3 linked regions of the Arabidopsis thaliana genome follow. The protein of the gene in region 2 interacts with the protein of the main gene of each other region in a pairwise test. Each region holds a gene or a part of one and is shown on either strand. Other genes may lie near its edges. The genes, in order: AT3G24860, TINY2 and TLP2.

What was found.
Region 1: the proteins of TINY2 (region 2) and AT3G24860 interact in a two-hybrid assay, tested with the Arabidopsis thaliana proteins (one large-scale study listed by BioGRID).
Region 3: the proteins of TINY2 (region 2) and TLP2 interact in a two-hybrid assay, tested with the Arabidopsis thaliana proteins (one large-scale study listed by BioGRID).

What each region holds. Positions count from the first base shown.
Region 1 is NC_003074.8:9,071,526-9,075,242, reverse strand, and holds AT3G24860 (Homeodomain-like superfamily protein), read right to left. Parts: upstream 1,621-3,717; 5' UTR 1,602-1,620; coding exon 669-1,601; 3' UTR 561-668; downstream 1-560. Other genes in the region: AT3G24870 (Helicase/SANT-associated, DNA binding protein), read left to right, coding at 1-6; AT3G24850 (B3 domain protein (DUF313)), read right to left, coding at 3,059-3,717.
Region 2 is NC_003076.8:3,726,992-3,730,748, forward strand, and holds TINY2 (Integrase-type DNA-binding superfamily protein), read right to left. Parts: upstream 1,736-3,757; 5' UTR 1,509-1,735; coding exon 798-1,508; 3' UTR 462-797; downstream 1-461.
Region 3 is NC_003071.7:7,943,984-7,947,740, reverse strand, and holds the start of TLP2 (tubby like protein 2), read right to left. Parts: upstream 1,744-3,757; 5' UTR 1,584-1,743; coding exon of another isoform or gene 1,335-1,583; 5' UTR 1,331-1,334; intron 1,053-1,330; 5' UTR 988-1,052; coding exon 655-987; intron 580-654; coding exon 492-579; intron 409-491; coding exon 279-408; intron 199-278; coding exon 1-198. Other genes in the region: AT2G18270 (uncharacterized protein), read left to right, coding at 1,335-1,583.

The sequences.
Region 1 (3,717 bases), on a different chromosome or scaffold from region 2:
GAATGAGAGGCATGACAGATGAACCTAGAACCTTGAGTAGCTGTAGATCCTGCAAAGCTTAACGCTGGCCCTTACCGACAACAACCCTGTACAGGAACCCAAACTGGTTTGTGTCCTCCACCTTCAGAGTCGGGTCTCTTTTTGGCATTAACATCTTGAAGCTGCTGGTGGTCTTTGGATTTGGCTGAGAGTATAACATAACAAACTCTACAGATTGTGGAGTTTGCAGATTTGGTAAGGCCAGAGGGAGATCAATAGGGAAGAAGTTGGTGGATAGGATAAAATTCATGCAGGTCTTTTTGCCTCTTTTGATGAACACAAAGAGAAGAAGGTATATCATAATGTAAATTACCCACTTGCATCATAGAGAAGTAGTCTCTTCTTCTTCCCATCTTTTGGTTTGGGAGAGAGTAGAAACAGTTTATAATGTTTTGTATAGAAGTCTCTACTCCTCCATCCTTGTGGCATATACTTAGGGCCCTTTTTTAACCTTTTCCTCTAACTTATTCTCTTGTAGGTTTAGGTTAATTTGATGAATGTATCATTGTTCTTTTATGGTTAAAAAAAAAGTTCACTTCACTCCCATAAACATTAGCTTACATAGTGCATTTCTTCAAATCCGTTACCTATGTTACAAATCTAAAAGCAACAATGACTAAATCTCTACGTTAGAAAGAATCAAAAGCATTGTTGATAAATTGAAGAAGCTGAGTTTGAGAACTCTGAATCAAATTGATTCTACGAATCTCCATTTCCTTACGAAGTCTCACAGTCTCTTTAGCAAACTCAATCTTCTTCTTCTCCATTACCATTACTCTCTCAGCAAACGCCCTAATCTCCGCTGCAACGGCTCGCATTCCTTTCCTCCGCCTCTCACCACCGTCTCCATCGTTCCTCTTCCTCTTCGATGATCTCTCTTTTTGTCCCCATGACAACAATCCTCCACCAACTCCAGCAAATCTGTTAACAGTTCCAGGTCTTCTCAATATGTAATTAATACTCCTCGATTTGCTCTGTCTCTCATCTTCTTCTTCCTCTTCTTCGTAGTTATTGTTATCCTCTTCTTCATCTTCTTCTTCGTCGTCTACGTAGCGATTATTCGAATTAGGAGGAAGACGAGTGAGAGGACGAGCTGAGATCGGAGCAGGATTTGAAGAATCCAATTCCTCCATTTGATTATAGAAAGGCCAAATTGAGATAGGTCCCATACTCTGTCTCTCAGATCGGAATCTTTTACGCATCTTCTCGATCTTATGCCTACACTGTGTAGATGTCCGTTCAACGCCGGAACGAGATGAGGCAGCAACGGCGATCTCTTCCCAGTGAGTTGATTTTAGAGGACCACGACCAATTGCGAACCATTTCTCTTTGTATGATTCGATTAAGAGGAGGGTCTCGTCTTGAGTCCAGAGAACAGGTTGGGTTTTTCTGGCGACGGCGGAGGTTGATGCGGCTAAAGCTACGACGGTGGTGTGCGGTGGTGGAGAGGATGGATTCGTGGGTTGAGGAGGAGAGGGTGGTTGTTTCTGATGCGGCGGAGTAGCGGCAGAATTAGGGTTTGAATCAGAGGGAGGAGAGGAGGTCGGCGAAGGCGTCGCCATGGTTTAGTGTAACAATGTTAATTGGTGCTTCGGATTTTGTCAGTTTAACTCCAACTCGGATCTTTGGGCTTTTTTTGTCTTCTTGTTGATTTTTTAAATTTTGGGCCCAACAAAAATTTACTAGACCAACCCACTTAGAGGAAGTAAAAATTTACTTCTCTTTTTTTACTCAGAGGAAGTAAAAAGTATCGGAGGAACAAAAGAGATAAACTCATGCAGAACTCCTTTACTTATTCAACACAATAGTCTAACTTGTAGGGATTCATTGAAGAGAAATTGACTAATTCTTCCTAACAACTGACAAGTAGAACAAGGAGAAGCAACTTTTCTCCATGAAACAAACCAAGAGTTTGAGGTGATGCCTTAGCATTCTTCGAAACAATCAATCACTTCAGCATATTTGGTGAGCAAGTTTATACCCGAGAGAAAGCCCAAATATGTTTACTGGGTTTATATTCAGATAGTCTTAGCTAAAGTCGATCTAATCACTTCACCATATGTTTTTTTGTTATTCTGTATCAGATCATCTAGAAAGGATTGTGTTCTTCCCGCGACGAAAAATTCCCTGGAGGCTTCGATAAAGATGGTCTTGCTTTTGCTGCAAACAGCAAAACAGCTTATGTGGTCAGCCACTACTGCAGTTATCTCTGTTTTTCAACCAGCCTTCCAAGTTGTGCCTAGGCAAACCTGCGTTGATGAGATCCTCCTCTCATTTTCTCTCTAATCGTTTCTCATCCTCTTCACTGCAATTTCCTCCTTCTTCCATCAACGGCTGCTAAGTGAGCAAAACGAACAAAAAATTTAGTTGGAATATGACAAGAGATGAGCGTGATGTCTCTCACATGTAATATATATGGTTTGAGGGTGAAGTAATAGTAGCAATGCAGACTTCGGATATGAGATTCAAATATAATCAGGTTTCAGCTTGGAAGTTTCTGCAGTGTCTTGGCCAGCACGAATGCATTCCCTGTGTTAAAGGACGTCGTACTTATTCAAGTGGCAGAAGGAAGCAATTGTAGCAAAACCTGTCATTGGCAACAAATTTTGTTCCTGATTTGATCATTTAGTAGAAACCTGTCACTTAGTAGAAAACAACCCTGGTTTTGATTGTATTGAGCATTTCTCATGAATGTACCATAACATGTAACCTTTTCACAATTGGATCAATGTCATCACACAAAATTAGACTTTGAGATATATTACAAGAAATCGAAAGGTAACTAAAGTAGACCAAACAACAAACCAGATTCATGTCAAAAGTGCTAAGTACATACGATTATAATGATCTGAAACAATAGAAGGAACAAGTTACTAAGAAGAAAGAGGAACCCAAGTTTCTTTAGTTTAACTCTTTCAAGAAATTACTAGACAAAAGAATCTTCAGAATCTCCTGAAAATCACTGTGCGTGTTAATCAACCAAGTTATAGTCACAAGACTCACAACAGACATAAGATACTTAGCAGAGACAGAGAGCAAGAGAAGAGCTACTCTGTTCCATGGCAAAGCAAAGGACTCCACGACACCTGAACGACCAAACACTAATGTTGTCGCCTTCTTTCAATCCGTTAGCCTCAACGACATCGTTCCACCCACAAATCAGATTGTAGTTCCAGCTTCCTTTTCCTGATTCCTTCTTCAGCTCCCATCTTTTCAACATCACACCCCACTTTACAGACCGTTGATCCACGAGAATCGCTCCCACTCCAATCTTCTTATTGTTGTTGATGTCTTCCTTTATGATTCTGGACTCCACAGACGTCAAGAAATCGTTTTGGAGTAAGTTGTTGAACGGCATTGAGAGACGGTTCTGTGTTGGGTTTATATCAGTCACAAACAGAGTCTTCTCAAAGATCAGTTTAGCATCTTTGGCTTCTTTCATGTCTCTCATCACCTTGACAAGCCACTTAGGCGTATCTCTCGCTGTCCCTGGAAAAGGAGCAACCTTTGCCTTCTTGAATCCACCGGTACGTTTCCTCTCTTCCACAGCACGTCTCTTGCGGCTTGTGTTCCCCGTTAGGCACAAAGACAGAGGGTTTGGTGGGTCTTTCGTCTCCATCTTTTCCGACTCAGCCATCTTGTAATCAGAGAGTACGAGTGATGAACAAAGTTCAGAAC
Region 2 (3,757 bases):
GAACACAAACAAAAAAAAGTCATCTGTGGAGCTGGCTAATCAGATCTGAATTTATCATAAGCCTTTCTCTTTTTAATTCTAAAATAGAACGAGTTGTATGATATTTGTGTGGCCTATATTGTCTAACAAATTTTTTAAAGTGGGAAATTATGGTCATTAACATACTAATAGATGATAATAAAGTATTGCATGGATGTACATATGTGGCTGTGTATTGTTTGCGTCAGCTTGGACAAGTTGCTCTTGCTTTGTGTTTTCCCTCATTTTTTACCCTAACTCACATTCTCCGTTCCATTTATGTCGACAAAACAAAAATGAATGGGATAGTGAGACTCTAATTTACAATTAATGGTTAAAGATATTTCCTATAATTTTAAAAAAAAAACTTTTTTTGTCAAAGAAAACAAAAACAAAAACATTGAACAGTTTTTTAAATTTTGATGATTTGCATTATTACAATATCATAAAGTTAGTGGACTTTTATTTATCGCTTATTCATTTGATGATACTTACAAAAAAATCACTTTATTTTCCCTTCTTTTCCGACAAAAAAACCCGATATTTATATATTACAAAAAAAAAACACAAATAGAGTTTTGTACACGTATCATTATGGAGCTCACACCCGCTCCAAAAAAAAAAAAAAAAAAAACCTTTCTTAGCTAACACCAAAAAACTCAAAAAAAAAACAAAAACAGCAAAGGGTTTTAAAAACGTGATTAAACAAAACATTATGGCAATGATACAAAATAAACTGTTTTAAACAAAACATTATGGTAATGATACAAAATAAACTGTTAGAGATCCCATGACAAGCCATGGCCAAAATTAGGGCTAATTCCGTGACCATAGTTATCTTCGGACGACTGTCCCCACGGCGGCGGATATAAACAGTAGTCAACTGAGTCATAGAAGACAAACTCGTTCCCAAGGTTAGCCGAGTCGACGTCGTAACTCGCCCCGAGACTTGGAAGCTCCACAATCTCACCGAGCTCCTCCGACTCAGTCCTCGAGAGGTCCATCACCAACACAAGAGACTCGAGCGAAGACGTAGAAGACAAAGACGACGACGAAGACGTGGAAGATGAAAACGACGTCGTCGGTTCCATGTGAGCTGCTTTAAGAGCTGCTGTCTGAATGTCTCGAGGGCTTAATGAAACGGGTCGAGGGAATGAGTCAGCGAGTTCAGGGAAGTTTAGTATAGCGGCCGTTCCTTTAATGCTCAGAGCCGCCACGTCGTGTGCACGCGCCGCCATCTCCGGCGTCGGGAAAGTTCCCAGCCAAATACGTGATTTCTTCCTCGGCTCACGAATCTCCGACACCCATTTTCCCCAGTTCCTCATCCTTACTCCGCGATAAACAGGGTGTTTACCGGAGTCTCTCCCACGTTTAGTCTTCTTCTCGCTTTGCTCAGCTTTGCTTTTGTCACTCACTGAGTCAGACTCCGAGTTAGGGACAAGAAGCTGAGTTACTCTCTCCGAGCGGAGGCTGTAGTATTCCTCTGCCATTGTGTTAGCTTAGGCACAAGTATCGTACAAGTCTATTATTCTGATTGCTTTTTTCGATTCGGATCCCGAGATTAATGCAAATAAAAAGAAATAGCTAGGCTTCAGGGGGAAAAATATATAAGTTTGAGAACTATTCAAAATGAGGAAAAAAAACAGGGCAGTGAAGTGTGATGAAGAAATGAGAGAGAAACTTTGATATGAGAAGAGAAAAATGTTGGTAAAATTTTGGCTATCATTTCTCAGTCACTCAAAATATTTATATATGCATTAATATATTTGGGTACGGGTTAGAAGAGAGGGAATGGGACCAAAAACAATGCAATAAGTCTAATTGAATAAAGGAAATGGACCCAGTGGCTCCATTTATTTTTGTTTTTCTCACAGACCCACTCTATTTCTATATTGTGAATATATTGTTATTAGTATAAAACGACACACTTGGGGTCACTGTTTGCTTTAATATTTTTCCCGGTTCTTAAAATCTCATTATGCAACTAAATTAGGAAAACAAAATACTTTTCAGTATATTAAAAGATTATGAGACGACCATATTTAGAAGGGCAGTGTTGAAAAGAGATTTTGTCTCGGCCGGGTACGTAAATTATATGAAAGTTGTCTCCGAGATGAACATGATGAGACAAGCCTTTTTTGTTTTGTGTGGTAAGATAATTTTCACCTCAGTTTTACTGTTTAATTATCCTTTACCTTGATCTTCGACTCATTGGATCATACATTCCTATTTACATATTGGTATATATATATGCTCATCATGTGAAGGCAATATGTATCCACATATATGATATGCCATAATTGCAATTTAGTTTTGATCAGAATTAATATACATATTATTTACACGGATATAGAGTTATTGTCTTTCAAATTTTGATTTTCTATAAACATATTATATGAATGTCAACAGTTTTTGAAGATTTATTCAGGAAATTTTTTTAGTAAGTATCATATGTTTACTTTAGTTATATATATCGAGGGCTAATTAAAGGAACTTGTCTTAACCAATAAACCATATGCTTCGAGGCTAAATTTTAAATTTTGGAGAAATTTGTAACTGAGTGTTTTTTTTCGAGACACCAAATGGTGTGTGATTAATTGCACAATTTGTACTGATTTCATTTGAGAGGATATTTTATACTTAGACTTGAAAAGGTGTACTAAAGGGGGTTTAACCGTAAGTAAATTGATAATTAATACCTCTGTCCTGGTCTTAGAAAATATATGGGCGTAAGACCCATAAAAGAAAGAAATCTACCAGCCAATTGATATTAATTAGGTTAAAGTTGCTTCCAAACTAAAAAAAAAAGCCCCCAAAATTAGAGGTACAATATTGCAAATAAAGAAAAGAAGTTTGTAGAGGAAACTTCAAGAAATTTTAAGGGACAATAACTTGTTCAATCATGGGGTCGTATTTGCGTACCTATAAGGAAGGACGAGTGTCTGTCAAATATACACATACACTAAAGTCTTTTAATAATCATGCCAAAAAAATGTCTCTTAATGACGAAAAAATAATGTCTCTTAATAATCATTTTGGATTTTTCACAAGTAATAGCAATGTCTAAGTACTTGCAATGAAGAGAATTGTTTGTATTTTCGCCTCTCGTTTCAGCAATACGTATATGCATTTTATATTGATCATATACGTAATACTAATTAACAATAATATTGATCATCTTAAGTTTACTAAAAAAAAAAAAAAACTGGTCAACAAAGGTTTTAGAGTTTACAAGTTTCTAATTCAAAAATTATTGACATGAATATATTGACTCTTGCTTTATATTTATCCTAGTTAAACAGATTTTATGTGAGATTCTTACAAGTCTATTTAAGACGAGAACGAAAATAGTTTAATTGTTTTGAAAATATTGTTAGAACACGAGAACAGTTTATGAAATCAATCGGATTACAAAACCATTAAATAATTTTGAAACCTCTATTTAAAAGTCAAAACTAACTAGTAATGAATGAAAAAATAGAAAAAAAGAAAAATTATTCACTATATTTCAAAATATAAGATGTTTTAATTAAAAAAGAACTTTTTTTTATTTTTAAAACCTTTATTTTATATTTGATTTAATAAAATTCAACTAATAATATAAAATACTGCATAATATAAATGGTCACAAATAACAAATATATTTAAATTATCTATAAACTTGGAAAACATCTTGTAATATGAAACCAAATAAAATGTCTAAAACATCTTAGATTTTATCAGCTATAAAGGATTTAAT
Region 3 (3,757 bases), on a different chromosome or scaffold from region 2:
ATAGCGCAGTGCATTCTTCTAGGTCCCCTTGTGCGAAGAACATTGAGCTCGTAGGTTATGTTTCCTACGGTAGAGCTATTCGTAGGTAGTTTAGGAGCCGCTTGTTTCGGGTGGAGTCTTCGGTTAGGTTGGGCTTGTGCTGTGGATGATGCTGTTTGGTTGTCATATATTGTGAACTTGGTTCCCAGAAAACCAGACCTATCCCACAAGATAAGTAGAGACTGCTTAGACAAAAGAGCTTTTGATGGTTAAGACTTTAACTCGGGACAATTGCTTACCTTAATTTGCCAACATAAGTACTGCTGCTCCGTGAGAAGTTCTTTGCAGATAGGGAGATTATAAAGTCTGTGCATGTCGCTCTTCTAATCCTTCTTGCTGCTAACAACAGTTTGTCGTTCTCAGTCTCCGCTGAAATTCGAAACAAGGATCATCCTTAGAACAACAGTTTCTACATTGTTGAAAACTTTAGTCAGGGAATAAGGGTCACTCACAAGGCATCAAACCATAATAGAGAATGTATGTAGCTGTTGCTCTGTTCCTCTTAATAAAACATTGAATTGGAGAGTCTCGAGGCCCCGGCTGCTCACAATCAAACAAGAATATTAGATTTCCAACATGATGATGTGAACAAAAGAAACAGTAAACTTTCTTTACCTGTTTCAATGAGATTGGAAAAGTGAGCTTCCCACACTGCTCAGGGATCCTCACAATCTCCATAGTGATTCCTCTCCATGATTTACATACTGAAGCACAAGAGACAACGGCAGCTCGAGCGGGCCAAGCTGTCTCACTCTCTTCAACCCTCCAGATAATGTCATGAAGCAACTCAGGCGGCAAAGAAGCCCATGGGCTCTGTGGTATGTTATCCAGTGGTGGAGTTGTTTGATCAGGAGCAATGTGAGACGACTTTGACCAGCTTCTCTTGGAGATGCCTCCAAGTCCATCCCTCACTTCCTTCAGATCACGAAGGATGCTTTTCAAAGACATCTCTTTTCAGCATACCACAAAACTCCCCGATAGCTGCAATCACTCAAAGTTCATCTTCTTATAATCTCCTTAAAGGAAACAAAACAAAGCTCAACACTTTCACAAGCAAAAACAGACCCCAAAGATAAAAACTTGGGATCTACGCATCTATACCAAATGGGTAAGGAGAAAATATGAACTACTAATAGAAAGAGCTCGAAATCTTCAAAAATCACAGATTCACATTGAAACGCATCAAAATCCAATCTTTAAATCCGACAAGAAAACTCAACAGATCCAAAAACAGAGGGAGAAGAAAGAAGAATCTTTCTTCTGGAAATGTGAAAGAAAATTGAAAACCAACCTCAATGAATTCGATGAAGGATCAAAAGACAAAAGCTTTAGAATCTCTGGAAACTGGAAGATGTGATCGGCGGCAGCTTCTTCACCGGATCCGAGAGACAAGATCGGAAAGAGAAAACGCAGAAACAGAGACAAGCATAGCTGTCTCTAAACAGATTCTTCGATGCTTGTCGTCTCCGGGGAAGAAGAACGAATTCGCCAGTGACTATCTTAACATGATTCCGTCGGTCACCGGCGTTATCGCCGTCGTCTAGACTCCGCCGCCGATCTCACCGTAGGTGAATAAAGGAGTGGTCACCACCAAAACGAACCTGAACCTCTCTCTCTTGTTACAAATTGAGAAAGAAAGGATCCGAAGTCTTCGCTTTTTCTTATAGTTTTCAATGAAACGTTTAAAGGCAGAGAGAAACTCTACAAATTAAAAACTTTAACACTAAGAAAACAATTTTGGTCGGAAAATATTTTTAACTTCTAAATTTTTTAGTTAGTTAAATAATTAAGAGCTTCTAATGATACTACTTGGCTTTAATTTGATCATGACTTACTGCATGGCTTTAATTTGATCATGACTTACTGCATGTGGCAATGACATATTTGGTCGGTAAATTGATAGTACTATTTATATATATATATATAGAAGATTAAACGAAAACTTTAGAATTATCCGACAAAATAAATCTTGAAGAAACCTATAAACCTTTTTATTTCAATGAAACTATTAATTGAGAAGAAATATATTTTACGTCCAACAAAGATTATTGTCGATGTTTATAGTGAACAGGAAAATAACATGTCTAATTTTTTATATAAGTAATACGTAATCTTATTATGTTGTAAAGTTGTTTATTCTAGTTTGTATGTGAATTTCTAATTTATTGCATGTGTGTAATATTTTTACATTGGAAGTAAATGATACTTGAAAAGAAAATTATATTCATTACCGAATTTTTAAAATTTAATATGATTGATCCAACTTGAACCAACATATCAATCCAACCTGAAATTAGTCCACCCTCCATACTAAAATTGATCTTATAAACACACTACTTTTAAGTTGGGGGTTTGAAAGCATATAAAAGTTTAATCTCAACATTTTAAGTATTTTTTTTTCTAATTAATTTTTTTGCATTTATTGTCTTTCAAAATTTTCATTATTCTTCGATTGTGAATGATTTTTTTTTTCTTTCTTTTCGATGTAGATTATAAAACTTGCATCTAGCGTCTTTTTACCAGATGTTTTAGAGATTTTGTTTTTCTTACTTTCTTTAATGAATTTGTTTCCATTTATTTTCATAACTATAAGAATATTTTTATATGAAAAATTCGCAATCACAAGGTTAAGTCAAAAATCAATCTAACTTTCTTCTTCAGGCTGAGTTTAGGATAATTCATATCTATAACATATAATTCGTTAATATATACACTTGTTCTCGTGCTAAGTATAAACACAACGGATCTTGTCTTCAACATATACGTATTTACTTCTTCTTTTTTTGTTTGACCTTATCCAACAATGTGAAATATTTTTAAAATGATATATACGCATCACACATGTATCATGTATGATGTATCAATTTACATAATTAAAAATTCAAAATCTCTGTCAAGCCACCCATTTTGACACCATGCATTAATACATATAAGAAAGTCTGGCTTAAGATCAAACTCCAGGAGGTGGTATTATAATTTTATGGATTTGGCAAACAATATATGCCACGTACCTAATTCAACTTTATTTTTTCATACATTTGTTTTGACGTCCTATTAAAGTTTTAATGACTTTTGATATGTGGTACCAACAAAACCTAATGAATCGTATACGGTACCACCCAAAAAAATGTCCTTCTTCTCCACCCATTTGATTGATTTTCTTGGCAAATTATGATAGTTATCTTAAAGTAATATTTATCATTTTATTTTGTGTCATTCATCTTATCGAATTTATATTTATGTGAGGTTACACAATGCATGATATCACTAACACACATTACTAGGTTACATATGATAAAAACAAAATTATAAGGATACGACTTTACTAAATGCACAAAATCTTCTTCAGGTAACAACGAATATATATAGAGTTTTACATTATGACTTTAATGGTTACGGTTGCCACATGAATAGCATTTGTAGCATTCATCGGGAAAAAATGTTATTATTCGTGCATAAACTTGTTAATGGATGTGATTTTTTTTTTAAGTGAAAAAACTTGTTAATGGGTGTAAAAACAACAACAATTGGTAACTCTAAATACAACTATTACCTTAAAAATAATTTACCAGGATCTATATTTTAATACTCCTGATTGTAAATTTCAATGATTCAAGTTATTAGCTTTTAAAATGTAATGATTCTCATCTTAGAAGTTGCTCATGTTTGGTATGTGGACCACAATACAACTATATTGTATATATCCTACATAAATATT